3 linked regions of the Schizosaccharomyces pombe genome follow. Changing the gene in region 1 together with any one later gene gives a genetic interaction. Each region holds a gene or a part of one and is shown on either strand. Other genes may lie near its edges.

Region 1 (11,040 bases):
ATATCACTGTAAGAAGAATTCAATGTATCATGAATAATTGATTTTCCATCATTTTTTATCGACCAAGGAGAACCTGATTTAACGCTAGAACCAGACTTACACAAAACTTGGCATACGTTTTTGTACAATATTAAGAGACCAACAAGGCCCTTTGCAATCTTCATCTATTATTATTTTAAAAATGTCAGGAATTCTTTTTTAAGTTTTTTAATTTACACAAAATCAATACTCCGAACAGCTCTAGTAGTTGGTATTTGGCAGGATAGATATTAGTAAACATACCCACATAAACATGTTACTTATCTTTGCTACTTGGAAGTTATAGGTCTTTGGACCTGGAAAAGTAATCAAACAAATACCAATTCCATTACAATGGGGTTTTGGGGTCGAAACTCGTTTGAAGCCGATAAAAAGGTATGTTTTATTTTACAGATGGGCGAGGTGTCCAGGTTGGAGATGTACGGAACGGATATGAGTAACCAGGGTTGCCTTTAAAGATTTATAAAAACAATATTTACATTGCTTCATCTCACATCCATGAAGATGTATTTGCAAATTTTTTTTTTTTAAATTTTTGTTCTGTAATTCTTTTTTTTGTTTATTGATGTGTTTTGTAATTGTTGGGCGTTGAATTATTTACTTTTCCTCGAACAATCAATTAAGGTAGTTGGGATAGAAGCAATGACTTGTACGTTTATCAAAAATACTTTGCAATCTAATTTTGGATATTTCTTAACATCTTGTCACTCTGTAACTCGTTTATCTCTTTTGAAGTGTTGGAAATGGACTAACAGTACAAGCATATCTTGGTGACCGGTGGGTCTCAGGGACTTGGCAAGGCAATAGCTAAGGAACTCGTGCTACGTGGGGCAAATGTAACAATTGTTGCAAGGACTGTAACTAAATTGCAAGAAGCAGTGGCTGAGCTTTCAGACTCAAAAATTCATGAAGATCAACAAGTATCGTTTGAGAGCGTGGATCTTACAAGTTATGAGAGTGTCCATAGCATGATAGAAAGACTTCCATTTTGCCCGGATCATGTTGTTCATTGCGCCGGATCTTGCATTCCTGGTTTCTTCACGGAATTGGATCCCTCGGTTTTTGAAAAGCAAATGCGACAAAATTATTTGGCTAGTGTTTATGTTTGCCATGCTGCAATTAGAAGGATGAAGGAAATATCTCCTTCATATTCTCGAAGGATTCTTCTAGTTGGCTCCCTACTCAGTTCTTTACCTATTATAGGCTATTCGGCATATTCCCCTGTAAAAGCTGCTGTCCGAAATTTAGCTGATTCTCTTCGCCAAGAATGCATTTTGTATGATATTGAAGTCTCTGTTTATCTTCCTAGCACCATCCTTTCTCCAGGATATGAACAAGAAAATACACTGAAACCGGAATTGGTTTTACAGATGGAGGGTATGGATTCCGTACAAACTTGCGAGGAAGCAGCCTCCCATTGCATGACAGGTTTAGATCGAGGAGATTTTTTGATTGCAAATGAATCAACTGGCCATCTAATGAAAAACCATTGTCGAAACTCTAGCCCACATGATAATCCTATTTTAGAATACTTATTTGCTCTTGTTTCTCTTCTAGCTTGGCCATTCTATAGAAGAAAGCTAGACAGTTTGGTTTATCAATATGCTTTAGAAAAGGGTTACAGACAACCTTCGAGCTCTAGAAATAGTTGGATATTTACTTTATTGCTGACATTTACTCAACTCACCATTTTCTATCTTTCCCTAAACTGTTTAATTGAAAATCCTTATAGAATGCTTAGAAATACTTTTCCTATTTGGTTTATCATGCAAACATTGCAAATCTATATTCAAAGCCCACGCCCACCCTTAACCCCAAAGAGATTACTTGCCGGTGCAGCATCAATGTTGATAGGCTCTTTACTCATCTCCTTCATTCTCGTAGCATTTGGAGCACCACTTCTGCACGACTTTCATTTGACGTATTTTTGTGCTCTAACGCTCAGCGTCTTTACTGTATATCCTCTTGCAAGCACGCTTGCTTTTAACACTGAACAATGGCAAAGGTTCCTTACTTTAAAATCCTTTAATGTTATAGGTAGCATGCAGCTAAGAAGCTGGGGTCCTATTATTGGTGCTTGGTTTGGCGCTTTTCCTATCCCATTAGATTGGGACCGTCCTTGGCAGGCTTGGCCCATTACTATAGTAATTGGTGCATTCTTAGGATATGCTTTTGCAGCTATAGTTGGAGAGATTCTTCAATAGACAATTATACAGTTGGTTAAATTCTTTATTTTTAGTTATCGTTAAAGAGCGGAGCGTTATCGCTAATTATACTTTGAGAAATAGATTTGAAATTTCTTAGAAATTTAAAAAAATAGAATGAACGTCAGTATTTTGTTTTCCTATGAGTAGTAAATATATAATAAAATGTAAATTAACCAAAGTAACTAAAACTAATAAAATTAACATTAACGCATGACCAATCCTTAAGGGACAAGATTATAAACAAATGCTTTTTTTTTTAAAAAATCCGTCTATTTTACTTTAAAAATTTTCAGCATCTTTTCTTGGTTTTCTTCTAAATTAGTGACAAAGGGCGATGCCAGATTATTAACGGACAAAGGTTCAACGTAACTGTTGGTAAGGTTTTTTGAAACTGTTAGGTTAGCAAGTAACAAAACTCAAAAAAGAATCGGCTTCCACATACGATGTCGTAAAGAAATTTCAGTTTTACAGCGAACTTGTAAAAGTGGTATAGCTTGCCATGTGGCCCTTTCACCTACTAGAATCCAATACTGGATGTCGCTTAATGAGGGCTTGGTAAATGCATGCTTTATGTCCGAGAAAGAAAATGTTGGAGTAAGCGTGATATACGCACTTGGAACATAATCGTCAACAAAAAATCGACGTAGTCTTGGAGGTAGAAGACCCAAAATATCCAGTTGGCGGAAACGGTAAGCCATTTCTAATCCTACTAAGCGTATCATTTTTAAGGAGTATCCTGAAACACGATGATGATGAAGTTCATCATAAAATGTAGGGAACAACGAAGGGCGAGACTGGGTAATAACAAAATGATTCACGTTGAAAATCTCAGAGATTCGTGCATAAGGATTAGAGCGACCGGTATTAGGAAGCCCAGCATACGGCCAAATAAAATTTTTGGGAGTACACACCTCGGTAGACCCATCGGGAAGTTTAGCCAAAAGAGGAGAAGAGCGGTAAATGGCAGCCCAGCTATTGCTAGAACATACGGCACTCCAGATCAGCACATTAGGGGCAGTGAAATAATTAAGAACCTGAGGGGATCCAGAAACAGCTGAAGGTGGAGCAACGATGTTAACAATACGTCCAGTACGCTCAAAAGCCTCTTGAAAGGTAATAGTACCGAGTCTTTGACGGACAAAAGATGCTATCATGGAAATGTCAAGCATATTCCCATACTCCACAACTTTTGAAAGAGAATAGTCAGATGTTTGCTGACATATTTTCCACAGTTCGCTGGGGAAAGTATCAAACAAACCATTCAATTCTTCATCACGATAGACACTCAAAAGCGATGCAATCAACGCACCTGATGCGCATCCTGCAAGGATTTGAGGAAGCAAATTACGTTTCCAAAGGGTCTTAGCTACCCCAAAGTGATATAGACCAAACGCAGTGCCGCCGTTGAAATACAAACAGGTAGTACCGAAGGAAATTCGGGCAGCGGAAAAAAAATCGCACTTAACGTCGTAGGAAAGCCTTTTAGTGTGATATAAAAACTCTAAACAATTGTTGACCTCACGTACATACTCTTCAATCAAAATTTTTGTACCCGAGTAATTCTCGGTATACAGAGAGGAATTGCCAATGTTGCCAAAGTTACGAAGTAAGCTAGAGCGCAAGAACATTAACATGGGATAGACAGATTTCCTCTGGCGGTATCGTTTTAAGGAGACCGTGCATCGATCAATCAATAGATAGTCGTACTTGTCCGAGGCAGGAGTAAAGCGCCATTTCCAACGCCCCGACGCCTTGTCAATCGTCGTAGCCAAAACTTTCCAATCCTCCCAAGAACGACAATCCTTGTTCATAACTACCTTTCCCTTTCGAGGGCCGGAACCACGCTGCTGCGATATCGACGTAGCGGAAAATAACCATTCAAAAAATGAAACCACCAGTAGCCAAATGGACGAAATATTCGCATACATAATGCGCCAGAAATTAAATAGTGCAGTCATATTAGGCAAACAATGGTAAATTCACAAATTACAATACAATTTCCAATCTTTTCTAATTTTACGTAACAAGTCTCAACAGGACCTATGGATAGAGTTATCCTTTAATTTTTGTAAGTTCCAACTAAAATCCGCTTCAAACACTTCATGAACTACTACAATATCTTTTATAATTGGAGAATTCCACCTAACAGCTCAATTCATAGAACTAGCTCAATTGAAGCTGGTTAATGGCAATTGGCACGATTACATCCGTGGGAAAAAACATTTGTTGAACTTGTCGGTGAATTCGGTGAACCCTATGTCATGGGCAGTTTATAGGTGGGCATGATGTGTATAGCGTATTAAATTGCCGTATTATATTGGTACTATAACGAAATAATTGCAATACACTATAATAAAGTGGAGTCGACTATCATGACATACGGTATTTAAATATAGCGATACATAAAATTTTTTTGCGTATTTTTACTGCCTAAAATGAATCGGTCAAGGATAGTCGCAAAAGCTTTTAAATTCACTGGTCTATTCCTTTAACAATAGTCATCAAGTTTGGATCAATAGAAAAGAATTCAACTTTTTTTTTTAGAAAAACGCTACCAGAAGGACAATCTGTTTTATTTTTCAGGAAGAACATTTTTCTTTCTGTATTTATTGAATAGCGAAGGATAGGGTTGAATAGTGAAAACAACGAAGTATTACTGTATTGCGGAATAGTCGCATACCCACAGGTTTTAGGTGAGTCCATTGTGAAAGTGATTGACAACATAGTCTAGTGAAATACTGTATGTAATATTACAGTTGCGTAGTGACAAAACGCGACGCGCCAAATTCACAGGTAATTTCTATTGTAGTAGCCCATTGTTAGTAAACAAAGAAATTCCCAAAATGGCTAATAATGGGAAAACAAGCTTTTTTTTTAAATAAACGGGTGTTTTCTTTATTTTAAAAGCAGGAAAATACTGAAATAACTTAAGAAGGTATATTTCCTCTTTTCTTTCAAAAATAAATGAATCGTGGAATTGATAGCATTCATGGACCCTTACGAAAATGAGGTTTCAAACGACCGCAATAAGTGATTATGAGAACAGCTCTAATCCTTCATTTTTAAAATTTTCTGCAGGAGACACTATCATAGTTATAGAAGTGCTCGAGGACGGTTGGTGCGACGGAATTTGCTCAGAAAAACGAGGTTGGTTCCCCACGTCGTGCATTGATTCTTCAAAAATTCAAAATTTTTTTTCAAGTTTTCATTCATCGAATGAGAAAGACCCAAATGCTCAATGTTGTGCGCCGTTTCACGTAGAGGCTCATCTTCAAGATTCTGCATGGTTTGAGAAACACGGAGTGCAAGCGATAAATAGTATCCCTTCTTCAGAAGAGTTCTTAAGAAAAAATCTTCAAAATGACATTCACCACCTTGTAAAAGGGATTCTCACCACCGCTGCCGCTGTGTCACAATCTATAAAAAAGGAAGGCACTCAAGTGATCGTTTTTGGAATTGAAACTGTTCGTAGTATGGTTCTTTCATTTCCCTTGATAATCCTTTCTACATTAGATGAAAATTTTCTCTCAGAAGTCGCGCAAGTGTTCTCCTCATTAAATTTATTGCCAGAGTTGAGCCGAATGGGTTGCACTTATGGTGAACTTTGCATCAGATTTACTAAGCTTTTGAAGCAATTGGCTAATAAGTTTTTGTTTTTCTTCAGGCCCGATGTTTCCTTCCCTTCTTACTTTTTGGGCTCTTTGATAGCGCATGAAATACATTTCTTGCCATGGGATTTTAATATGCTCTGTTCCAATTCTGTACAATCAGCACATACAAATCTCCAACCTGATATTACTTCCTTTGTTGCAATTTTGTCACTTTCACACGAAGCTTACCATTGCACTGAGAATGAATTTTGGAATTTAGAAGCACAGAAGCTAACTGAAAATACAACCCAAAAAGTACTACAGCTAGTTGCGGAAGATGCACTAGAAGCTTGGAAACTAGATATTCTAGAGGACATCGATAGATGCATTCAATGTTGTAGGCGATTCTTGTCTGCAAATCAAAGAATAAATTATTCTTCCTCTGAAAATAACCCTTTTTCTTTCACTTCTCAAGATGTTGAAGCCTTGAAGGATGAACTGTCTTCTAACTTATGTGATTTATATTTGTGGAGTATCGACTTGGAGCAAATCTCACCTAGCGATTGTTTACTGGACAATTATTCCCTTTTTGTTGATTTACTAGTAACCTTGAAAGTATCCCTTCTTCGGATCAAGTCAATAATTGTTCAATTTTCAGAAAGAATTGTGTTTCTTTCTCTAGAATACAAATTCCTCACAAATATCCAACCAGAATTGAATGATGCGGAGAAGTCCCAACTTGATGGTTTTGACCTCAATAAAACCAACTGGTTCGACTCTAAAGGATTAGTTTGTTATTTAATGAAACAGACTTCACCAGAGCCATTATTGATCCGAAACCTTTTGTTTTCATTTTGGTCATGTAATGGTAAAATTGAACAAGATGGAAAAATAAAAACAGCCACTTTAGTGTTCATTATAAATTACCTTCTAAGGACAGATATAGATAGTACATTTTTTACTACTATCTTTTTAAACACATACGCTAGTATGATCAGTTCTTCAGATTTATTTTCCATACTTGGAGCACATTTTCGGTTCATCTGCTCATTAAATTTTGGAAAAATTTCTTTTATTTCTCACGAATTTTACCGAGTTAGTAAGAGGTTTTTGGATATACTTCTTATTTGGTTCGAATCGTATCTTGTTGAAGAGTTGGACAATTCCAAGTCAATATTCTTTTTGTTTAAAATTTATAAAGTTTTTGAAGTCTTTGTAGTTCCACATTTTGCATCTGCTGAAGAATTATTGCATTCTTTATCACACCTACTTCATCATCCCTCTACAAAAAGATCACATAAAATGCTAGAGGGAAAAGAGCTATCCCAAGAATTAGAGGATCTTTCTCTCCATAATTCCCCTGATCCAATTATATATAAGGATGAATTGGTTTTACTTCTACCTCCTCGTGAAATTGCAAAGCAGTTATGTATCTTAGAGTTTCAATCATTTTCACACATATCAAGGATTCAGTTCCTAACTAAAATCTGGGACAATCTTAACAGATTCTCACCCAAAGAAAAAACTTCGACCTTTTATTTGTCGAATCATCTGGTTAACTTTGTGACCGAAACCATCGTGCAAGAAGAAGAACCTCGCAGACGTACCAATGTGCTAGCATATTTTATTCAGGTCTGTGATTATTTGAGAGAGCTTAACAATTTTGCTAGTTTATTTTCCATCATTTCTGCGTTAAATTCCTCACCCATTCATCGGCTGCGTAAGACATGGGCAAATTTGAATAGTAAAACATTGGCTAGTTTTGAGCTTCTAAACAATTTGACAGAGGCAAGGAAAAATTTCAGTAATTATAGAGATTGTCTGGAGAACTGTGTCTTGCCATGTGTCCCTTTCTTAGGTGTTTACTTCACTGATCTGACTTTCCTTAAAACTGGAAATAAAGATAACTTTCAAAACATGATCAATTTCGATAAGCGCACCAAAGTCACTAGAATTTTGAATGAGATAAAAAAGTTTCAATCTGTTGGGTACATGTTTAATCCCATCAACGAAGTTCAAGAGCTTCTTAATGAAGTTATATCGAGAGAGCGAAACACGAATAACATCTATCAAAGAAGTTTAACTGTAGAACCACGTGAATCTGAAGATCAAGCCTTACAACGCTTGCTAATTGATTCTGGCATTTTTTGAAGCGTGAACGTTAACAGTGATTTAAGTTTTTATGAGCTTGCTTCGAATTCCTTTAATATTTTCAAATCTTTTGTAGAACAATATAATCTTAAAATCATTTAATTCTGATATAGTCTGCCTCGTAAATTATCTTTCGTCCGTTTACCTCACACCTTAATATTCATAAGAAGAATGGACTGGAAAGAAGCGATTCCAGGTGCCGCCAAGGTAGCCATTGAAACCAAAGATTATATTACCTACTCAACGCTACTCGAATTGATATTGGAAGAAGCGCGAATAAAGGATATTGATGAGCAGCGAGAGTTGATTAAGTGTCTACATGAAGAATTGAAGCAAGAAAAGAATGTAAGTAAAAATATTCATGTAATTAAATATGAATTCTCCTAATAATGTTGCAATTAGGACCATATAACACGCGAAATTTCCTGGGACATTATAGGAATGGTGCTTCCATATGTTGGGAAAGTACAAAATGAGGCCGATGAGTTTGTGGACTTCTTAGCCAAAAACGGAAATCCAAGAGAGGTGTTCCTTAAATGTTGTGAACTTTTGATAAATGGAGGCTTTGAAAGTCCCCAACAATTCATATCTCTGAACAGTGCCATTTTATCAGCCTTACACCGTATATCTACAAAGCGACCAGTTCTATTTGTAAATAATTTTTTAATTTCATTGTTTTCGGGGTTAGCAAATATTTTGCAAATTGATAGCGATGAACTGTATTGTGTTTGGAAAATCTCAATATCATCTATACAAGATGCAATGCATCGCTTTCCAGTGTCAGAGTGTTATTTGGCATGTTTAAAGGCTTGCAGTATTTTAGCTCAACTCTTTTTAAGTAAAGAAACATTGATGCTTTCTTTCCGTTCGCTGCTTCAAACAAAAGATCAGTATGCAGAGTTTCGTGAAGAACTAAGTGGCGCTACGACTAATTGTGACAAGTTGGATACCCTTTCAAAATCCATAATAAACATCTTCGATTATCTTTTGTCCCATCTTCCAGAGAGCTGGAGTATCATTACTGAGCACATGGCTCAGGAGCTGACAAAAGCTACATATGTAAGTCAGTCATCCTCTATTTCCTCAGAAGACGAAGAAATAGCCAAAAATGCTGATGTTCCTGCTGAAGTTGATAACAATTCTACTAAGGCTGATGATAAGCGGGATGAAATTGAATTTGACACGAAAGGATGTCTTGCTTTATTAACAATTAAATCGTTCTATCAAAGCGGAAACTTCTTTCTGGATTTTTTGAAAGAAAAATTTCCCTCTACTATCCTTGAAACTTTGCAGCAATTGGTCTCTTGGGAGATTCAATTGGATAGTGTTGGTTTCAAAGATATTGCTGTGTATCAAGGATATTTGTTGGATTTACCTCATTTCCAGGTTCCCGACTCCGAACTCGAGCATCTCTCCAGTTTGCTCCATGGATATCATTTTATGGCTTCTTCGACAGAACTTCCTTGGCTGCGTGTTACATGCAATGCTATAGTCACAAAATGTCTGGATTCTCAGTTACCAAGTGTCCGTCTTTCCTACATACTTGATACTTTGGAAGAATGCCCACTGTTAAATATAAAAACTGCTATCCTAAATTATTATCAAAAACAGTGTTCTCTTGTAAAAGATAGTAATGAGGAAGGTTTAAAAAACTTTGTATCTCCCAATACCCTTCTGGATGTTTTCAAAGTGTTTGACGCTATGGAAGATGTTGAACTTGATTCTCAATCCCTATCGTACATTCACCAAACACTGGTGTTTCTCTATTCACTCGAGATTCAAAATTTGTTAAGTCAAAACCAATTTCCTACTGTATATTTCACTAAGATTTCCGACCAAATAAATAATTATGAGGGAGAGCTTCCTACAGACGGACTGAAGTATTATATTGAGCTTCTAAATTCTCGCAACAAATGAGGTTCAACAACAAAAATTAAAGTTTTCGTGAAAAAGTGTATGGAAGGAAGCATAAATGTTTCTTCTACTTCTCCCCTAACATATGCTCTAATCGTTTTACTTGAAATTGTATTTTTTAACATTTTACATATATTTTTGATTCAAATTCAGATGCTAAACCAATTAGTAAATCTACTGCTCTATTAAATTGGTCACACCAAACATACATTTCATTCAATAGCATCAGGGATCAAAGAAAGGTTATACTGGATTTCTCACTGCAATCATTGCTATATTCGTTACAGCCTTGCTGTAAAAAAGGTAGTTCCATATTTAGAAAAAAGATCGACATTTCATAAATTCAACAACTCATGACTGATTTTCATTTATTCTAAAAAAATAGGATTTTAATATTAGCTACAATTAAATCTAGAGTAAAAATCTAATAGATATATATAATTTGATGTTTTTCTAGTCTGTTATTATTCTGCTAGTAAACGCTAATCAGTAGGTTTTTAAGTACGAATAGCGACTTAACCAGAGCAAACTCGAAAGTTGGGTTCTTCGGTAAAAAAGGAGGGATTCCGTCTGACAAGTAAGTCCTGTGAAAGAACCATCAAGAATTGAGTTTTTTATACCACTTTGCGAAGCAATTTTAAAAATTGATCAGTTTCATGTCTGGAGAAAGGCAAAACTGCCAGGTTCCTTCATAAAATAGACGTTTTTCCTTTCCTCTTTCACTAAGAATTAATTCACATTCTTTTATCAAATACAATGGAGCCTGGAATACCTCCAATGATTGATAAAGCTCCAGCTTATAGTCATGTTTTGATTGCTGGAGGTATCGGAGGAGCCACGGCTGATTTCTTGATGCATTCTTTGGATACCGTGAAAACAAGACAACAAGCGGCTCTATATACGAACAAATATAACGGAATGGTAAAATGCTACTCCACAATTTTGTGTGAAGAAGGTGTTTTTCATGGCCTTTACAGTGGAGTATGCCCCATGCTTATTGGCAGTTTGCCGGCTACTGCTTTGTTTTTTAGCTCTTATGAATATACAAAACGACATTTGATGAGTAATTATAACCTTCCTGAAACCCTTTGTTTTTTATTAGCCGGATTTGTCGGCGATTTGTTTGCTTCAGTTGTTTA
Region 2 (9,901 bases), on another chromosome or scaffold:
ACTTATCGAAGTTTTATTTTGAGTCTTTTGCAAATGCTAGAATTTTTACTCTCTCGATTAGATGGGACTATAGATCTTTCCTCTGAACAGCATTATCTGTTGTCCAATTTTGTTTTGGTTGGAATGTTGAATGATGATCCAGGACTTTCGCCAAAGTGGCTACATGCTATAAAGAAGCTTTTACCTCTTCTTTTACAAAACCTTCAACTTTTGATGGTTAATCCCATTCAATCTTTGTGCAAATTTGTTCATTCATTTCTTGACCAACACGAGTCTATGTACCTAAAATACCCTGACCCAGTAAAAGATTATGCGTGCATGGATGTTTTTATTGCTAAGTTGAAAATGCTTAGCGAGTTAGTTTCAGCAGCCTTATTGGAATTCACATATTCACCCGGCCCCAAGAAAAGTAATTTAGAAGCCAATGGTATCATCGGAAATGTCATTTCTGGTGTGTTTGCAGCGGAGTCGTCAGGCGTTAGCATCGATGTCAACAAGAGATTATCTATGCTTTTAACTATGCAGGATGCTTTGCAAACATTATTTTTATCATATTCATGGCATATTCGGTCTTCATATGCTGATAAAACGTCAAAAGTATTTATGAATGATTCATCGGTTTTAAAAGAAGCATCCTTATCGGGATTAAAAGAGTTTTACTTCTGTGAACCTCTTGAATGCGTAGAAACGCTGGTACAAATCTATTTGGAGAACAATGTTGAGTGTTGCCAGTGTATATGGGATATATTTTCATTTCTTAGTGATTCTGAACCTCAGTACATTGTTAAGCAATTAGTTTCTTCTTTTTTTGCACGTGAAGGAATAGCTAGTTATGCAGGGCCTTCTAGTTTGACAGCAAAGATTACACAACTCGATATTTTATGCTGTATGTCTGACTTCGTCTCCAGAGTGGAGGGCGAAAACACATCTAAGATTTTTACGGAAATTTCAAAATTTGTTCGGGAGATTATTTCTTCCTCAAACAGCTTTAAAAACTATTTGCTGGTATGTTTACGAATGCTACTGGAAGTTGCAAAAAACGTGAACACTTATTGCGAATCTCGCCAGCAAAAAGACTTTATTGATTTGATGGGGAAAACATTGTCCTCAGTCTTATTTCATGCAGGAAAATCAAGTGATCCAAACCTAACTGTAGATTTTCTGGCGTATCATAAAGCTGCTGCAGACACGTTTGAGGTTGCCAAAACACAAAAGAAAACTAGCTCCGTGTATTTATTCGTAAAATACTTAGATCCCTCTTTGCTTGACTTTTTCTGTTCTGAGTTTGTTCCAAAAATAACCGAGCTTTCTAAGGAAGAAGATAAACTAGTTGCTTGGGCTACATCAATCGTCAATGTATTTATAACTCCTTTAGTAAAGGCTAGGACATTTCCGGAATCACTCACCACTTATCATTTGGACTTATTGCTCGTGTTGAGTAAACATCCGTTTTTGAGTAAATCATGGAGGCGCGATTTTTGGGAAATTTTTAATGATAATTCACTGTTCAGGTTCGATATTGATCAATTAAGAAAGCTTTCTCCAGTAATATACACAGCTTTGTACCAAGAGATATCTAGATTAAATGATCTCATAACAAAATCTGATTTAGGCGTTACTACTTTATTTACATCTCGGGATACTCAACTAGGTGCAAGGCAGAGCAACATATGTCGGATCACAATATTAATGTTATCTTCTCCACGTGATTTTTTCCTGCCTAGTCTTCCACCTCTGATTGACCTTGTCAAACGGCTTATAACGTCTGATCCTGAAGGAGTATTAAAAAAGGACCTGTTTTTATTTATTAGAGCTCTAGCTTTAAGGACCTCTTCGAAGCATTTGCTTCCATTATGGCCAATCGTTGTTAGCGAATTGTTGATCATTTTTAAATCTTACTGTATGCCAAATGTTGCCATTTCTAAAGAGACATTATTAGACGCATGCAGGCTTTTGGATTTTTTAACTGCACTCAAACTTGAAGAATTTGCGCTACATGAATGGGTTGTGATGCTTAGTCCACTAGATGCTGTCTATTGGAGCGGAAAAACTAGCCGTAAATCCCTCGTACAAAAGGTTTCTGAGCGACTTCAGGAGCAAGCATCGGAGAAGGACGACAAATCCAGTGTTGAATCCGAACATTCTATTCTTACTTCAACTACAAGAACCCCTTCTTTAGGCATTTACACAACGGACGCTCAATTAAGAAACTTTTTAAATCGCATTTCTATAGACGCTTATGAAGAAAGCTACTCGTTTTCAACAATCGACATACAATCTTTTGAAAATTCTATTTACAGGGAAGTTCTTCAAAGGTTTTCTAATGCTCCCCTATCTCCCTTTTCTTCAATTAAGGCTCCATCAAGCCTGGCTGGCTCCAGTAATTAATTCATAGTATTTTATATCGATTAGGAAGTCTAGGCTGTGTGGCTTCTTATGTAACTTCCAGTTACTCTAACCTAATTATTTTTGTATGTATTTTCTTTTCAAGTTTCAATGTTTATATTCGGAAAATGGCTATAGGGTTTAGTTTGCAAATACTTTAGGAACCATGTTGGACATTCATTTAAAACTGCTTTAATTTATAAAAATTGTTAATTAATGTTGTTTCTTAATTCATTGCACATAAGATGGAAATTAATGTAAGTTAAGTTTTTCATTTCAAATACTAATATTATGAAACCAACTTACGCAATCAAGGGCAGTCCGTTAAATCCGATGCCAATAGTTGTAGTGAATTTTTAAACCAGAAAGCACACCGAATATTCAAGATATTTCACTCCAATCGTAAATATTATTTTGGTTATATATCCTATTTAACATTTAAAACGATTTTTATCGATTGATTCACAATCAATTTTATTTTAGCATGGTATGTTCATCCATAGATAAACGTTTGGCTGACGACAACAGCCAAAAGCAAAAAAAAGAGTCAGTCTAGCGTCAAAAGCATCAAGTCGTTTACCGTCTTCTGGTAAACCTAGCCAACAAGCTAGTATTCCAAATGTCGAGTTATCTTCCACCGTTACTTCGAATAGTCAAGTGCTCAACAATGATCCGCTGAAAGAAACAAAGAAAGATAAACGGAAAGACCGTCATTTCAACTGGCAGCAAAAATTTTCTAATCCAAAAATATCTGCTTCGGCTCGTAAGCGCCGGAACCGTAAAGCCAGAGAAAACCTGAAAGTCAATGTGTCTTCGATTGGAGAAGTACTTCCAGAAATTGATCTTGATATTTCGGTAGCTAACTCCAGGTTGAAGCCCGTAATTAAGGATAGTTTATCTTCTAAACAAACTAAGAGTTCTATGAAACGAAATACCGTTGAGGAAATCGAAAGGTTCCAAGCCATATTGAAGCACCCTTCATTCGTTTCAAATCCTTTGGAAACGGTACGGGAGCACTTAGGAAACTCTTTGGATAGTAGATAAATAGAGCATGCTCATGTCTAGGTAAATTTGGAAGGAATTTGAGTACACTATAAATGCATGATTAATTTGGGGGGTTTTCTTTGGGAGGTTCTTTTCATACTTACTGATTATGTTTTTACAATAAAAAAGTCTACTGATCTAGTTTGTTATTCAGTATGCAAAAAGAGAGCTTGATTTATTTATTTATTATTAAATTCATGTTTTAAACTTTTGACTCAACAACTTAATCAGTAAAAGATGGTGAAATTTGTTCAAACCCATTACGATTCCCATGTAACAAATAAAAGTATATATCCATAATAAAATTTTAAGTAACTTTCTTACTTTAAGTAAACCCAATTCAGCGAGACGGTGCCATTGTGTTGCAAGTCCGCAAATGACAATGTACTTGCAATATTAAACCATTAGCGCAATAAAAGAATGAAAAACATATTATATGCCAAGCAAATAATAGAACGGTAAATTGATACGCCCTAAAGAAAGAAATTTTTTGAAAAGGTTGCAGATGTAATACCTACACATATGTGACAATAGTAACTTCAATCATTTCCATTTAATCTGGATGTATTGTCGGGATGTCACTACGATCACTTATGTTAACATAGGCCAATGATTTAGAAGCTTCGGCTTCTATCCGAAAAAAAACCCAAACACAACGTCGGAAAACTTCAAGAAATTGCATTATAAAGATCCCAAAGTCGGTGGTAAAAAACGCGGATTGATGTTCAGGCAAAACGCGAACTACCCAGGCCATTCGCAAAACAAAATCAATCGCACTTACAACTGCAAATGTGAATGTTGGGAATAAACGCCGAACCCCAAATTTCCAGTTTTGGATTGATAACGGTTGCTTAAAAAAGGGAAGACTCCAATCCATTGAAACATCCCACCAAAATGAATAAGTTGAATTTATAGCTGAAGAGGTATTCCATAAAAACCATAGAAAGCTAAATCTTTTCTTTGCAAAAATCCCAAGGAATATCGCTGGAAAAGCAGTGAAATACTTGATAGAATTCAATGTACTCCAAAATTTATCTGATGAATTATCCGCAGAGCTTCTTTCAATCAAACATTGACGAAATCGGATAGCGTATGGATACGCTGCAATCATTGACATAATAACCTCATTTTCATATTGTTTTCTATGAGAGTTATTAGGTGAGTCAGTTACGTAAATCAAGATTGCTCCAGCTAGCCAGAGATCAGCAATGACCCTCGAGTAAGAAGTCAATAAATCAGAAAATATAACATCGGGAAATTTGTAATCAGGTCTGTAGCTTCCTCCCAAAATCCTTAGACACTGTCGAGTAAACACCTTTCTCTGGAAGAACCAGAACTTATGTACAGGCATAAAAACAATAACACCAAAAATAAAAACGGGGACGTATGCCAATTCATCAGACCCAGAAATCAAATATAAGGATTCGGCTATTACGAAAAGTAGAGTACCTAATATAGATAGGGAGAATGACAATTGCCATAGAGGAGCATTAGCTTGCTGTGATCGATTGACAGGCAACGGAGTATGTAATAATGAGAACACGTCGACCCTATTTATCACTAATAGATGTAATATCAATGTGAAAGAATAAAGACCAAATACGACCAAGAAGAATAATCTCAATACTAGAGGAAAATAATTGATAAAGTGATTCAAATCCTCTATCAACGCCATATTAAATAAAAGGGAGAAAATCTGAAATAATATATTAAAATAAACTTGAATGCAATTATACAATGGATGAATTTTTACAAAGAGAGACGCAAACAGTGTAAAATATGTCGAGTCAAGTTGTACAGCCGATCTTCTAATTATGATGATAAAACTTGACTCATAAATAATGAAAATTATCAAATAAAGGGTTCTATGATGATAGAGATTAGCATTACTGCTTGAATGTCGAGAGGTGCGTTGTGGAAATGAATGCAATAGGGTACACCAAGGTAAAATCTTAAATACCACCACAGCCAAGAATCATGTTGGTCTCTACAAAGAATGGTGGGATTTTACAGTAAAACTTAAAACATGAAAAAGTAAGGTGAATTTTTAAATATATGACGAAACTTGTGTTATGCTGAATATTAATATTAAGCTGACAATGAGTGGTTTGGTTTAGTAGCATATAGATGATGCGAGTAGAGCAAATGGGTTACGCTTAAAGTAGTATAACAGATTTTGTTGAATGGAACATCAAACGAATCAGGTTAGAAAATGATCGTAGATAAATTTGATGGCTCAATCATCTGATAACCGTTCACACCTCAATTTACTAATTATGCTTGAACTCCTTAAAAAAGTCTTGAAGTTGATTCACAATCCTTTAATAATACAGATTGACGGTTTTCGAAAAATGGAGAGCAAATGCTTATTCATTACTTTAAAAATTTATCGGCGCATAGCGCTTGGAGAATGCCGAAAATATTTGAGTCCAAGCCAATTAAAGAATAACCATACGAAAAAAACCACTGTACAAGTCAGAATTAATATACATGGATAATAAGAACGAATAGGTGAAACCTGTTAAAAATATTAGAACCAAATTTGTACAAGATAGAGAAATTAAAACATATTGGTACAATGACCCTGGCAGAAAATATTCGACGATGCCATTGAGATTTTAGCATCATAACTTACATCGCCATCAACATAAAGTGGTATCTCAACAAAGTTAAATATAGTCATAAGTCCAAATACAAATAAAAACCAACAGGTAAATAGCAGTAAGTATCCATTAGATACCATCGAACCCATCATTTTAACCGTATTGATAGGTATCTTCAGGCACGTTTTAAACAAAATATGATGAGTAGTAATTTAATTATAACCAACGAAACCTAACTAAATACCTTTTATAAAGAATCTATACTAGTTGTACAAGAGCAAACGTTTCGCAGAGACAACAAAGTAAAAGTACAGAATCTCCTCAAATGTTAAAGAAAAAAGGAGAATTAAAAGAAAAACATTAAAAGAAAGCCTTAAAAAACCGTGTTAAACTAGATCTGGGATAGTATTGCCCTATTTTGAAAGTTTTCCCGTTACTGGGATTTTATGAGGTCAAGGAAGCTCGCCTTTGAGAGCTCTTTGACTTTTTGCTCACGAGCAGTACGACCACCAGAGATGTTTTCTCTATTTAAAGAGCTTTGAAGTTGAGCAGTACGAACAGCATTGAATAATTGAACTACACCTCTGCGAGCAATACGGCGAAGCTCACGTTCATGGGTGAATAAAGCTTTTGCTGTTTCAGCGTTAACTGCAACAACGCTCGTAACACGACCAACCATCTCTTTTCTCAATCTTTCACGTCTTCTAGAAGTACGTAGTTTAGAGTCTTTTTTTTCCGCATTACTTTTTCGTAAAGCTTTTTTAGATTTTTTAGACAAACTTAGAACCGGCGTGTCTTGTTCATCAGTTTGAGTAACTTGTTGATTTAAGATATCAGCAATGTCATCAGCAATGGTACTTTCTTGAACTTCTTCTTCAATTTCATCTTCAGAACTATTGGATTGATAAAATTCGTCTTCGCTGTTCAAGTCTTCCAACTCTTCCTCAGAGTTTTCGCTATCATCTTTTACAAATTTTTTAGAGGAATCATCTTCTTGAGAGACAAATGATATATCTTCGTTTTTTATTTGAGATCTTTGTGATTTCGCCATTAATGTGTTGTTGTCTAAATTTGAAATTTTTTGACTGGAACCACCAAGTAAAGCATGGTCTCCAAAAAATGCACAATATCAATTTGAAGCGCCTAGTTCGTTCTAATAGAATAAAACTGATATTCTGTTTCTTTAATTATATAAAAAAAATTTAATTTTATTTTAGGTAGTTTAGTTCAATTTGGCGAACACTAAAATATTATAAATTTGCTCAGTATAATAGGAATGGGAATAATTGGAAATTTCTGACCAAAAAAACACTAATAAAGCTCAAAGCTTGATACGTTCATGCTTATGACCACGAACAGGGGCTACTCGTATTAAAGTAAAATAAACTAGAATGGGTTTCATCCAGTCTCAAAATAGGGCTGGGCTGGTAACACAAGAAACAAATGCTTAATAAAAGGTAATTATTAAATAAATATTGATGAGAGGGGGTAAGAATAAGAATTAGGAAAACCTAACAGCTGTGAGACAGTAATAATTAATATTAGAAATCATGCACACATCTCAAGGAAACTGATTAACCTTGGATTGTCGTTAAAAAAATAAAGACTTTGATCGTTTTCTTGAGTATATACACAACGGATAAATTAGTTCAGCCATTTGCGAACAATTTCGAAACTGAGGAAGGTAACCGAACTGGCAGGTATGGTGCGTATAAAATTTGTTGCCATGCCAGAGTAATATTTTCTCCAACCCTCTGAACGCCATATGTCTCGAATAAGTAAGGTAGCCGAGTTGTGTGTAGGTGCATCCAAACTCTGCAACCGAGTTCTCAAAACTTCATGAGGATAAGTGACGGTAGAAGCTGCGATTTTAGACAAAGTAGCTGCTAACACTATATGAAAGTTGCTTTTTTTACCAAAAAAATCATCCAAAAATGATTTAAAATATTCGTACAGTGGAAATTGGATGCCAACATGCAATGTACCAAATAAAGAGGGGAAAAGACCTCGGTAAAATGCTGCAAGGCCTTCGTATTTATAAATTTTTCGAAATGCGTCAAATGTGTTGTTGTATGCAGGTGAACATGCAGGGCCTGTGGGAGGATTCACTGGATGCTGTGATGGAGAAGATTTGACATTCGTCCTACGCTTGAGCCAAAAGCGAGGCATTCTCCATTTGACGGATGGTGCGTCCGTTTGAAGATTACGAAACTGGACGGTTGTAGCCGCAGCAATTTTATCTACAAAAGAAGAAGCCCTAGGATGTGATTGAGTGACTAACCTTGTTTTTACAACCCAAATGGGGTTAGTAAGAGTGACACTTGCAGCACCGGCGATAACCGCAGAAAAGATTTGACCACCCCAGTAACGATAAAATTGTTTGTCAGAACTATCTAAGGAAGCCTTGATGCCAACCTTGGACGAATCAATTTCGTGGAGAGAAGTGTATTTTTTATTTACCCCAAATAGCACTTTGCATTTTTCATAGACTACAAAATAAATGGACCAACTAGGAAGATAACCTAACATCATGGGTCCAACACCTCTATAAAGACCGGCGATGCCTTCATTGTGAAAAATTGTTCGCATCGAACTGAGGGTCCCACCCAAAACCATTGTATTTTTTCCACCACCAGTTGAATAAAAAGCCTTTTGTGCCTGCTTTCTTGTTTTTACTACATCTAAAGGTGCCACTACAAGAGAAGAGGCCAATCCAGCAGCTCCTCCTGCTATAGCATCCTTTAGAGAATCATCAACCATAAAGACGGATCAATTTCCTGATGATAATGCATGCATCTAAAGAAAACAGCAATTAAATAATAGACCTTGACAAATTCTTTACTTTTTTAGACGCTGATAAGAACGATCCAACGCCTTACGATGTTTCAAATTGGAAATGTATATATATTTTAGCGTTGATGTAAGAAGCTGTACAACAACATATATGTAAGTAAAGTGTTTGGCAGCCGTCAATAAGAAAGTCGAATCACTGTGCGGTAAACCACATTAACGACATGAATGTCTCCGAATTACTAATTGAGAGGACGTTCCATGCCCTTAAAAGAGAATTTCTTTTATATGTGCATATCAGATATGATTAAAGTCGTAATGCCCATTAACAATATATAATGGTGACATTGATGTTGCTAACAGCTTTACACACATATCTCAATTTTACTTCACAGATCAGTTGGCTTTATAAGCACCATTGGAACAGTGCTTTTGCTTTTGCTTTTGCTCGTATAAGTATTAAGAGGAAATTACTAATATAAAACCTTAGTTTTTCATTTTTTTCCAAGTCCAAACATATTGTTTTTATACATTAGCTTCTCTTGATTACCGCCAATTTCTAGTCGAAAAAATTATTTTTTTAAGAAATCCTACATTTGCTGAGAAGAAATGTTGAAAACGTAGTAACTACACAGTGTACCACTATATTGTTGGATAACTTTGTAAACTCCAACGTACTGTTTTGTCATACTCTTATTGTCAACTTTAGAAGCAAGATGTAGAATTAATATACTTGTAAATAACTGAAACACCATTTTTGTCGAGACTTAACTTCAAATATATTGACAGGTGATTGCCTCTATTGCCCTCATTGGAATAGTGCGTTGAACAATCAGACTGTAGCCAGGCTTATGGGACAATAATTCCTTCTTCAATTACTTATTGCTTTAGCAAAGATAAAGTGATTAAATTGGCTAACCGTGACAATAATGAGCTTTAAGTCTCAATTACTTATCCTTGCTCAGAAGCTGTCGAAAGGTGGTATTTCTTGTGAGTTGATTGAGTTTGATGAGTGTATTTTGAAGTTAGAATGGCATACTGAGCTACTTGATAAAAATGATTCCTTATTATACGAGCAG
Region 3 (10,383 bases), on another chromosome or scaffold:
GGTTCATGTGGGTCCGACCTTTTGAAACTGAATCCAGTTCATCCACCATTTTCTCTGCCAGGAGATGTTGATAATAAAGTTTACAGTTATCCCGAGGATTTTAATGCTACCAATACGACTGAGTACAAGTCTGTTTCTCGGGCTTCACAGAGTCAATATAAAGCCACTGCAACTTCTGAAAAATCACATGAAACACCTTCAAGTGAATCTCTTATTAACGGAAAGCCGGAGTTTAGTATCAACTATCCTCCTTATGCCTTAGACACAGATACTGAGACTCACGACTTGGCTCAATTTGGCGTTAGTCCTAATGCAACAATGCACGGCAATACATTAAGATATAATTTGTTCAACACATATGGCTACTCAGAAAGCAAGATCTCTTTTGAGGCACTTAATTCAATTCAGCCAAACATTAGGCCTTTCCTTTTGAGCCGCTCAACCTTTGTTGGTTCTGGACGATATGCCGCACATTGGCTTGGTGATAATAAATCACAATGGTCCGATATGGTTTCCTCTATTTCGAGTATACTTACTTTTAATTTATTGGGAATACCAATGGTTGGAGCAGATGTTTGTGGGTATAATGGTAATACCGATGAAGAGCTTTGTGCGCGTTGGATGGCTTTAGGAGCTTTTCTTCCATTTTATAGAAATCATAATAGTCTAGGTTCCATTCCACAAGAGCCGTTCAGATGGGCTTCTGTCGCTGAGGCATCTAGAAGCGCTATCGAAATACGCTACAGTTTATTGCCGTATTGGTACACTTTAATGCATACAGCTTCTGTCGATGGTACACCTATGGTGCGTCCTTTGTTCTTTGAATTCCCAAAACAAATCTCACTAGCAAGTGTGGATAAGCAGTTTATGATTGGAACTGCATTGCTGATATCCCCAGCGTTAGAACCAAACACGACATATATTCAAGGTATCATTCCTGGAGATAATGATACTATTTGGTACGATTGGTATAATCATTCGGTAATAAACCATGATTACGATGAAAATATTACTATGAGTGCACCACTTGGGTATGTCAATATTGCCGTTCGTGGAGGAAATATCATTCCCTTACAGCAACCCGGTTATACTACATATGAGTCGCGCAATAATCCTTATAGCTTGCTTATAGCTATGGATAATAATGGGTTTGCTAGTGGTAGTTTATATATTGATGACGGAATTTCGATGCAAACAAACTCATCTCTCTCTGTCAAACTAAATTCTAATTCAAATACGATTACGTGCGTAGTATCAGGAACCATGGTTTCGTCCCCATCTTTGGCCAACATTACAATCCTTGGTCTTTCAAACCCACCAAATACTATACTATTTAATGGTCAGCAATTAAGCGATTATCAATATTCAGACCAGACTCTTTCGTTAACAAATCTACTAGATTTGACAGTCGACGGTGCCTTTTCTAAAAACTGGACTGTAACATGGTCATAGTTCAATTTTTTTGTTATGTTTAACTTATAAGCTTGGGATTGCGCCCTCGTTTTGTTTATGATTTTAGAATCTCAAGTAATGGTGTTCATTAGAGTTTAACTTCTTAACTAGTTAGTGTTGAATTATATTTTTAATAAAAAGCTGCTGCTTGCTTTTATGCTGTTCTTTTTTATTGCTTTAAGATTTATAAATGATTTTAGAATACACGCAACGGGCATAGCAACAAGTGAAAATTAGGAGTACACTCAAATCTTGAAAAATTTTCTTGCTCTAATAAAATTTTTGACAAGTGTGCAATTGAATTATTATTTAATTGTTTTGACAGGTAAGGAGTATTGTATATAGCAAATACTGTGAAAGACAAATTCAAAAATTCTGAAAAGGCGTACTACCGATATATGATATGGTTTAGCTTTTTTTTTTTTAAATAAAAATATCATATCATGCTATGCCTTTAATGCTAGAAGCTCATAAATGTTTGATTTCGCTACCTCGAGTCTCGGTAAATGCAGCGAGCAAAAGCAGTATCAACACCAAAAAATTACAACAATCTCATAACCAAGTAATTGTAAAGGTTTCAAGGTTCGAATTACCAGGTTTATGAGGATACTAGACAAATAGAGGAATTTTGTTTGATATGAATCAATTTCCTAATCAACCTGGGAATTTCGGGCAAAACTATTACAAACCAGTTCAAGGTTCTATTCCTGCTAATTCAGAGGCGACAAATTTTCAACAAAATAACAGCAGAGAAAATAAGAGTGAATGTGAATTAAGGCAAAATTCTATTGCTGCATCTATGTCTGCATATCCGAATGGGATGTATGCAGGAGCGGAGAATCATAACGTTGAAAATCATGAAAATTATACAATGGTTGGTCACGATCATATGGAGGAGGTGTATGGAGACGATTTAGTAAATGAACCAAGGATAGCTTACTCTTCGGACATTGTAGCAACATTTGACGGAAAAGATTTTGGAAGCAACCTTCATGTCGATGACACCTTGGATCAGCAATGGGCTCACTTTGCTGGTAAACAACAGCATCCTCTTGAACCTCGTGAAATTCCTTTTCCTGTGACGGATCCACTGAACTCTAAAATCGAAATGAAACAATTTACTAATATAGCTGCTGTTTTACGATATAGAGGTGTACACAGCGCTAAGAAAACTGCATTTATTATTCTAGATAATAAAGGAAAAGAATTTACGTCTATCACATGGGAAAAACTAGCATCCCGAGCAGAAAAAGTTGCTCAAGTAATTCGCGATAAGAGTGGCCTTTTTAGAAGTGACCGGGTAGTTCTCATGTACAGGGACTGTGAAGCGATTGATTTCGTCGTCTCACTTTTTGGTTGCTTTATTGCTGGTGTCGTTGCTGTACCTATCAATCGTTTCGACGATTACAACGAGCTAAGTTCAATATTGACAACTACTAGTGCTCGACTTGCTCTTACCACTGATGCTAATTTAAAAGCCTTTCAACGAGATTTAAATGCTAAAAAGTTACACTGGCCAAAAAATGTTGAATGGTGGAAGACAAACGAATTTGGTGGATTCCACCTTAAGAAAAAGGCGGAAATGCCACCTTTACAGGTACCTGACCTTGCCTACATTGAATTTTCTCGGTCACCAATTGGTGAATTGCACGGAGTAGTAATTTCACATCGTACAATACTTCATCAAATGAATTGTCTTGCTGCTATTCATGCCACGGCTCCAGCTTATGAATCTGATAAACTAGACTATTTATCTATTGATCGTGAGTACACTGAAGGTCTTAGTAAATCCGGTTTATTCCTTACATATCTCGATTTACGTCAAGCTATCGGATTGATTTTGGGTGTCCTGCATACAGTCTTTTCTGGATACACGACTGTTTGGTGTCCTCAAAATGCCGTGTTTGTGCCAGGCTTATGGGCAAACCTTGCTACGCGCTATCGTGCATCGTTTATGCTTACTGACTATGCCGGTTTGAAGACTATCGCTTACAATTATCAAAATGATCCTAAAGCAACACTTGGGTTTAGTAAAAAACATTCAGTAGATTTATCTTCTTTACGAATGTGCATGGTTGATTGCTTAAACGTTGATTGTGAATTTCAAGAGATTGTTTCCGATCGTTGGTTAAAACCTCTTGGAAATCAAAATCCACGCGCAACATTCGTACCTTTGTTATGCCTTCCAGAACATGGAGGAATGGTAATTTCAATGAAAGACTGGATTGGTGGTGAAGAATTCATGTCTCCCAAAGGATTTAAGAGTCCAAGGACTCCGGAAAATGAGATTTCAGAGGTTCTATTAGAAAAAGAAGCTTTAAAGTTGAATGAAGTAGTGGTGTTGGCTGAAGATGACAAAGCACGTCGCCAATCCAAGCACCCAAACACCATACGTGTAGGAGCGTTTTGGTACCCTTTTGTTGATGCTACTCTCGCAATTGTTGACCCAGAGACTCAAGTCCTTTGCTTGCCTAACATAGTTGGCGAAATTTGGGTTGACTCGCCATCACTCTCGGGTGGGTTTTTTGCTCTTCCTAAACAAACTGAAGCAATTTTTCATGCTAGGACCAGCTTTATTTCCTCTGATACTTTTCAACCGATCCCATCTAACCAAGAGTTTTTAAGGACTGGTTTGCTTGGATTTATTCGCAAGGGTAAAGTATATGTTCTTGGTCTTTACGAGGATCGTCTTCAACAAAAAGTTGAGTGGGTTGATAATGGCAAACAGGATACTATATTCTTTCATCATTATACGTCCCATCTAGTAAACACTATCATGAGAAAGGTGTCCAAAGTTTTTGACTGTTCTGCTTTTGATATCTTCGTAAATAGCGAGCATTTACCTGTTGTTCTGCTAGAAAGCCCTGCAGCGAACATACCAACTGAAGCTAATGGTAACCAAGTTGTAATCAATTATGGATTGCTTGATCTTATTACTACGGAATGTGTCGAATGTCTTTTGGAAGATCATCAAGTTCGTGTCTACTGTGTTCTGATTTGTGCCCCTTTTACTCTACCCAGAGTAACAAAAAATGGTCGCCAAGAAATTGGTAACATGATGTGTAGGAGAGCGTTTGAGCATGGTACGCTTCCATTTCTTTATGTTAAATTTGCAGTAGAGCGAGCTGTTCTTAATTTACCAGTCGGTGAGGATGCTATAGACGGTATTTGGTCTAGCTATGCTAGCGGTATTCGACAGAATTTACTCTCTGATCAAGAACTTCAATACAGCGGGTTTATAGACCGCTCTTTACGATATGATGCAAAAACATCGGTGGATATCTCTTCTTGTCATACAATGCTTCAATTATTGCAATTACGAGTAGCAAAGAACGCAGAAGATATTGCCTATATTACTATAGATGGTCGTGGTCGAGAAGGAAAAAACATTACTTGGAGGAAATTTGATCAAAGAGTTGCAACTATTATTCGATATTTGCAAAAGAAAAAGTATATAAAGCCTGGTAGGGTGGTTGTTTTAATGTACACTCACTCAGAAGATTTTGTTTATGCTTTATATGCTTGCTTTTATTTAGGCTTGATTCCTATTCCCGTACCCCCATTGGATCACATGAGGCTTTCAGAAGACGTACCCGCGTTTTTGTTTTTAATAAAGCATTATTATGTTAGTGCCGTATTGGTCAATTCCGAAGCTGACACAGCTCTTCGTGCTAAAACCACATCTCAACATTTGAAGCAGTCGGCTATGGCTGCCAAAGTAGTACTGCCTTCTTTTATCGTGACTTCAAAAATTAGTAAGCAAACGAAAAGCATCAAGGAGTTGAATGTAAAGTTAGATCCGATATGTTTAGACCCTGCCTTCCCTGCTCTCGTTTGGGCTTTTTGGTCTCCTGATCATCGTTTAACTTTGACGGCATACAATCATCAAACGTTACTTTCTATATGCCAAATACACAAAGAAACATGCCAAATGACCCACAAACGGCCTCTGTTGGGACATGTCAGGAGTATGAGTGGTATTGGCTTTTTTCATACATGTTTAATGGGAGTCTTTTTGGGAACAACCACCTACCTTCTTTCACCCGTTGATTTTGCCAACAACCCTTTACTTTTATTCCAAATCATATCCAAATATAAGATTAAAGACACTTACGCTACTTTTCAAACTCTTAATTACATTCAAAACCAACAACCGACTAAATGGCCAAATCTGTCATGTCTTGAAAATTTAATGATTCCTCACGACGGTCGCATAAGTGCGTTCTATATCGCTAGTTTACAGAAGTACTTTGTGAAACATGGTCTGAGTCCTTATGCTTTCAGCACTGTGTATAGTAATTGTTTGAATCCGTTCATATCTACAAGATCATATATGGGTGCAATTCCTACACCTCAATTACTCGATTTGCGAGCTTTAAGGCATGGTTTAATACAACCATGCGAGTCAGCAGACAAGCCATATGCACTTCCTTTATTGGATTCTGGAATGGTTCCAGTTTCTACTCAGCTTGCAATAGTTAATCCTGATACTCGTGAACTATGCAGAGTTGGCGAGTATGGTGAAATCTGGATGCGCTCGAGTGCAAATGCTATCTCTTTTTTCCAATCAACAGATCCAGTAGATATGATGAGATTTAATGCTACTAACTCTGATGGATTTCTTGGTAACGGATATGTTCGTACTGGTGATTTGGGCTTTCTCCAAATCACTTCACATTCCATGGGACCCAACGCACCGGTTGTTGACATGCAACTTCTCTATGTATTAGGGCCCATTGGAGAGACTTTTGAAGTCAACGGTTTAAGTCATTTTCCTTCTGACATTGAGGACACCATTGAACGTTCTCATCCTCGAATCGCTCGTGGAGGAACTGCAGTTTTTCAGTCTGCTGGAAGAGTTGTTGTCGTTATTGAGGCTCTAGGTCAGGATTTTTTGGCAGCCATTGTTCCAGTAGTGATCAACAGTATCCTCGATGAGCATCAAATTATTGCCGATGTCGTAGCGTTTACTTCGCGTGGTAATTTCCCCCGTTCACGGCTTCGAGAAAAGCAAAGGGGTAAAATCCTTGCTTCTTGGGTTACCGGCAGACTTCGCACTACTCAAGTATTTTACATTAGGGGTTCTGGAGAAGGCGAGTTTCAATCTTCTTACGTGCCCGACTATAACCCAAGCTTACGATCCACTCCATCTGTTAGTTCTCGGTCTACTTTACCACAGCGAGTATTTTAAGATAGGTGGATATCGATCTGCCCTATCTCCTTATTCCTCGTTTCCTGGTATCATTTATATTTGGAAAATCAACTCTCTTTCCGTTGTTGTATCTTTGTGTTTTGATTCCTATTGCATCTCTGTTTGTTTGCTTATTTGATAAACAAGCAGAGCAAACTTTCTTTCATAATAATTTTTGGTATTAAAACCTATATTTTTATTTATTTGACTGCGTTAATATTCGCGTTTTGCATCTTTTTCTGTTAAAAAGTTCTCCGGATTTTTGAATAGCGTGTTGCTCTCCTTAATTTATATTTTTTGGTAGACTAAAAGAAATAATGACCTTGATATACTTTACTTACTTTAAGTCCATTTATCATTTTAAAATTGAGTATTACTCCCATATGTCAAACATTGTGCGTAATGCATCATTTCTTTCACTTACTGTTTAAATGCATTAGAATCTCATTATTCTTAGCTTGTCAGTTTACAAGCTTTGGATTGAAAACGCATTATAAGGTATCGGTATCTACGTTTCAAGTAATAATGAAAGATGCATTTTCATATCGTATAAAGATTCCAAATACAACCAAACATTATAAAAATACGACATTGAAAATTAGCAGCAAATGAAAGTAAAAGTATTGTACTACAGAGCATTGACGGTATTCTTTGTTAAGCATCAAGGCTAGTAATGTTTTAACTCCTTAATTTCTTATACCGAAATTGTATAAAAAACTCATTATTGTAATTAATTAGCAAAGAATATTCCTCGTTATAAAGTAGTAAACATACTTTGGCTTACATTTTTAATCAAACCAAAAACCATTGACGTTGAAAAACGAAGAATGGGGAAAAAGGGAAAAAAATCTGGATACGCTGATTGGGAAGATGATTTAGGTGAAGATATCAGCGGTCAAAACGAATACTTGGACAATACGTCTCAAGATTCTCCTCAAAATGATGAATTGGCTGAGAAGTCTGAAAACTTGGCTGTTTCCTCAGAGAAAACCACGTCAAAGAAAAAGAAAGGGAAAAAGAACAAAGGAAACAAAAACCAGGTTTCTGATGACGAGTCCCAAGAGCTCGAATCTCCTCAAGGTCCCAAAGAATTAACGGCGGTGACTGAATTGGATGATGATGAGTTTGACTACAAACCCAAGAAAGGCAAAAAAGGAAAGAAGTCAAAGAAGGTTGAGGAAGATGATGAACCTCAGGAAATTGAATCTCCTCAAGGACCTAAAGAGCTGACGGCGGTAACTGAATTGGATGATGATGAGTTTGACTACAAACCCAAGAAAGGCAAAAAAGGTAAAAAGGCTCAAAACAATAATGAGTCGGAAGCTGCTGCTCCTCCTGAAATTCCTGAAGTTCGTGTAAAAACTAAAAAGGAAAAGGAACGTGAGAAAAAAGAGCGCGAAAAACTTCGTAAAAAACAGCAACAGGCTAAGAAGAAAGGTAGTACGGGCGAGGATACTTTGGCTTCTTCTGAAGTTAGCTCTGAGGTCGATATTTCTACGCCGGCAGAAAATGATTCGTCTGCCAAAGGAAAACAGGCAGCTGGATCGAAGCGTAAAGGACCTAATGTAACAGCTCTGCAAAAGATGTTGGAGGAAAAAAGGGCCAGAGAGGAGGAAGAACAGAGAATACGTGAAGAAGAGGCACGGATAGCAGAGGAAGAAAAACGACTTGCCGAAGTGGAAGAAGCCAGAAAGGAAGAAGCTAGACTCAAAAAGAAAGAGAAGGAAAGGAAAAAGAAAGAAGAGATGAAGGCTCAAGGAAAATACCTTAGTAAAAAGCAGAAGGAACAACAGGCTCTGGCTCAACGTCGTCTTCAACAGATGTTGGAATCTGGTGTTCGGGTTGCGGGTCTCTCAAATGGTGAGAAAAAGCAAAAACCTGTTTACACTAATAAGAAGAAGTCTAATAGAAGTGGTACTTCTTCCATCTCTTCATCTGGCATATTAGAATCCTCCCCTGCCACTTCAATCTCGGTTGATGAACCACAAAAGGATTCTAAAGATGATTCTGAAAAAGTGGAAAAAGAGACAGAGGTTGAACGTAAAGAGGAAAATGAAGCTGAAGCTGAAGCTGTCTTTGATGATTGGGAAGCAGCATTGGAGGAACCTGAGGTTGCGGAAAATAATGAAGTGGTGACCGAGAAGAAAGAGACAGATATAAAGTCTGACGCTGTTGAACATTCTATTAAGGACAAGGAGGACTCCAAAACCGACAAGGTAGATGATATTCCACAAGCCGCACCTGCTGAATCGAATGTATCTGAGTCTGATCTTCGTTCACCAATTTGTTGTATTTTGGGTCATGTTGATACTGGCAAAACTAAATTGCTTGATAATCTTCGTCGTAGTAATGTACAAGAGGGCGAAGCTGGTGGTATTACTCAACAAATTGGTGCCACTTATTTTCCTATTGAGTCAATTAAGCAAAAAACGAAAGTTGTCAATAAGAAAGGCAAACTACAATACAATATACCTGGTCTGCTCATCATTGATACACCTGGTCACGAATCGTTTACCAACCTTCGTTCTCGTGGTACTTCACTCTGCAACATTGCCATTTTAGTGATTGATATTATGCATGGTTTAGAGCCTCAAACAATCGAGTCAATTCGACTACTACGCGATCAAAAGACACCATTCGTTGTTGCTTTGAATAAAGTTGATCGTCTTTACGGTTGGCATTCCATAAAGGACAACGCAATCCAAGATTCACTGTCTAAACAGAAGAAGGCTATCCAGAGGGAATTCAGAGATCGTGTTGAAAGTATTATCTTACAATTAAACGAACAAGGTTTAAACGCCGCATTGTACTTCGAAAATAAAAATTTGGGTCGTTACGTTTCTCTTGTTCCAACTTCTGCACAGAGCGGTGAGGGTGTTCCTGATTTAGTTGCTCTTTTAATTTCGTTAACGCAGACTCGTATGTCAGACCGTATCAAATACATTACTACTCTCGAATGTACCGTGTTGGAGGTTAAAGTCATTGAGGGCCTTGGTGCTACTATTGATGTTATTTTGTCAAACGGTGTCCTACACGAAGGTGATCGAATTGTTCTTTGTGGAATGGGTGGACCTATCATTACGACCGTTCGAGCTCTTCTGACACCTCAACCTTTAAAGGAAATGAGAGTTAAATCAGCTTATGTTCATCATAAAGAAATTAAAGCCGCAATGGGTGTAAAAATTTGTGCTAATGACCTTGAAAAGGCTGTAGCAGGATCTCGTTTGTTAGTCGTCGGACCTGATGACGATGAAGAAGATTTGGCAGAAGAGATCATGGAAGACCTTGAAAATCTTCTGGGAAGAATTGATACATCTGGTATTGGTGTTTCTGTTCAAGCTTCAACATTAGGATCCTTAGAAGCACTACTTGAGTTCCTCAAACAAATGAAAATTCCCGTTGCTTCAGTCAACATTGGTCCAGTGTACAAAAAGGATGTAATGCGCTGTGCTACTATGCTGGAGAAAGCTAAGGAATATGCATTGATGTTATGCTTTGATGTAAAAGTAGACCGAGATGCTGAAGACTTGGCTGAACAGCTTGGTGTCAAAATATTTTCTGCTAATGTCATCTATCATTTGTTTGATGCGTTCACGGCTCACCAAAAGAAGATCCTTGAGCAGAAACGTGAAGAAAGTTCTGATGTTGCAGTGTTTCCTTGTGTATTGAAGACAGTTGCTGCTTTCAACAAACGAGACCCTATCATTCTTGGTGTTGATGTTGTTGAAGGTGTTCTTCGT

The links.
Region 2: mutations in ste6 (region 1) and erd1 together harm fitness more than expected from each alone (negative genetic interaction), as found in Schizosaccharomyces pombe (one large-scale study listed by BioGRID).
Region 3: mutations in ste6 (region 1) and cmr2 together harm fitness less than expected from each alone (positive genetic interaction), as found in Schizosaccharomyces pombe (one large-scale study listed by BioGRID).

What each region holds. Positions count from the first base shown.
Region 1 is NC_003421.2:1,760,835-1,771,874, forward strand, and holds ste6 (RasGEF Ste6), read left to right. Parts: upstream 1-5,251; coding exon 5,252-7,987; 3' UTR 7,988-8,137; downstream 8,138-11,040. Other genes in the region: ero12 (ER protein folding oxidoreductin Ero1b), read right to left, coding at 1-164; SPOM_SPCC1450.15 (pig-F/3-ketosphinganine reductase fusion protein), read left to right, coding at 373-414, 801-2,243; triacylglycerol lipase Ptl1, read right to left, coding at 2,516-2,637, 2,689-4,204; ubiquitin-protein transferase inhibitor Glm2, read left to right, coding at 8,159-8,332, 8,390-9,904; mme1 (ATP-Mg/Pi carrier protein), read left to right, coding at 10,658-11,040.
Region 2 is NC_003424.3:495,302-505,202, forward strand, and holds erd1 (EXS domain-containing protein), read right to left. Parts: upstream 5,346-9,901; 5' UTR 5,105-5,345; coding exon 3,983-5,104; 3' UTR 3,577-3,982; downstream 1-3,576. Other genes in the region: dop1 (family protein DOPEY), read left to right, coding at 1-2,388; slx9 (ribosome biogenesis protein), read left to right, coding at 2,870-2,872, 2,914-3,429; SPOM_SPAC227.19C (uncharacterized protein), read right to left, coding at 5,816-5,947, 6,065-6,184; rRNA processing protein Rrp15, read right to left, coding at 6,466-7,083; yea6 (NAD+ transporter), read right to left, coding at 7,677-8,792; atg10 (autophagy C terminal domain family protein), read left to right, coding at 9,752-9,901. UniProt on the Schizosaccharomyces pombe protein: Required for the retention of luminal endoplasmic reticulum proteins, affects glycoprotein processing in the Golgi apparatus.
Region 3 is NC_003424.3:1,122,078-1,132,460, forward strand, and holds cmr2 (AMP binding enzyme), read left to right. Parts: upstream 1-2,000; 5' UTR 2,001-2,089; coding exon 2,090-6,643; 3' UTR 6,644-7,027; downstream 7,028-10,383. Other genes in the region: gto2 (alpha-glucosidase), read left to right, coding at 1-1,452; translation initiation factor Tif52, read left to right, coding at 7,471-10,383.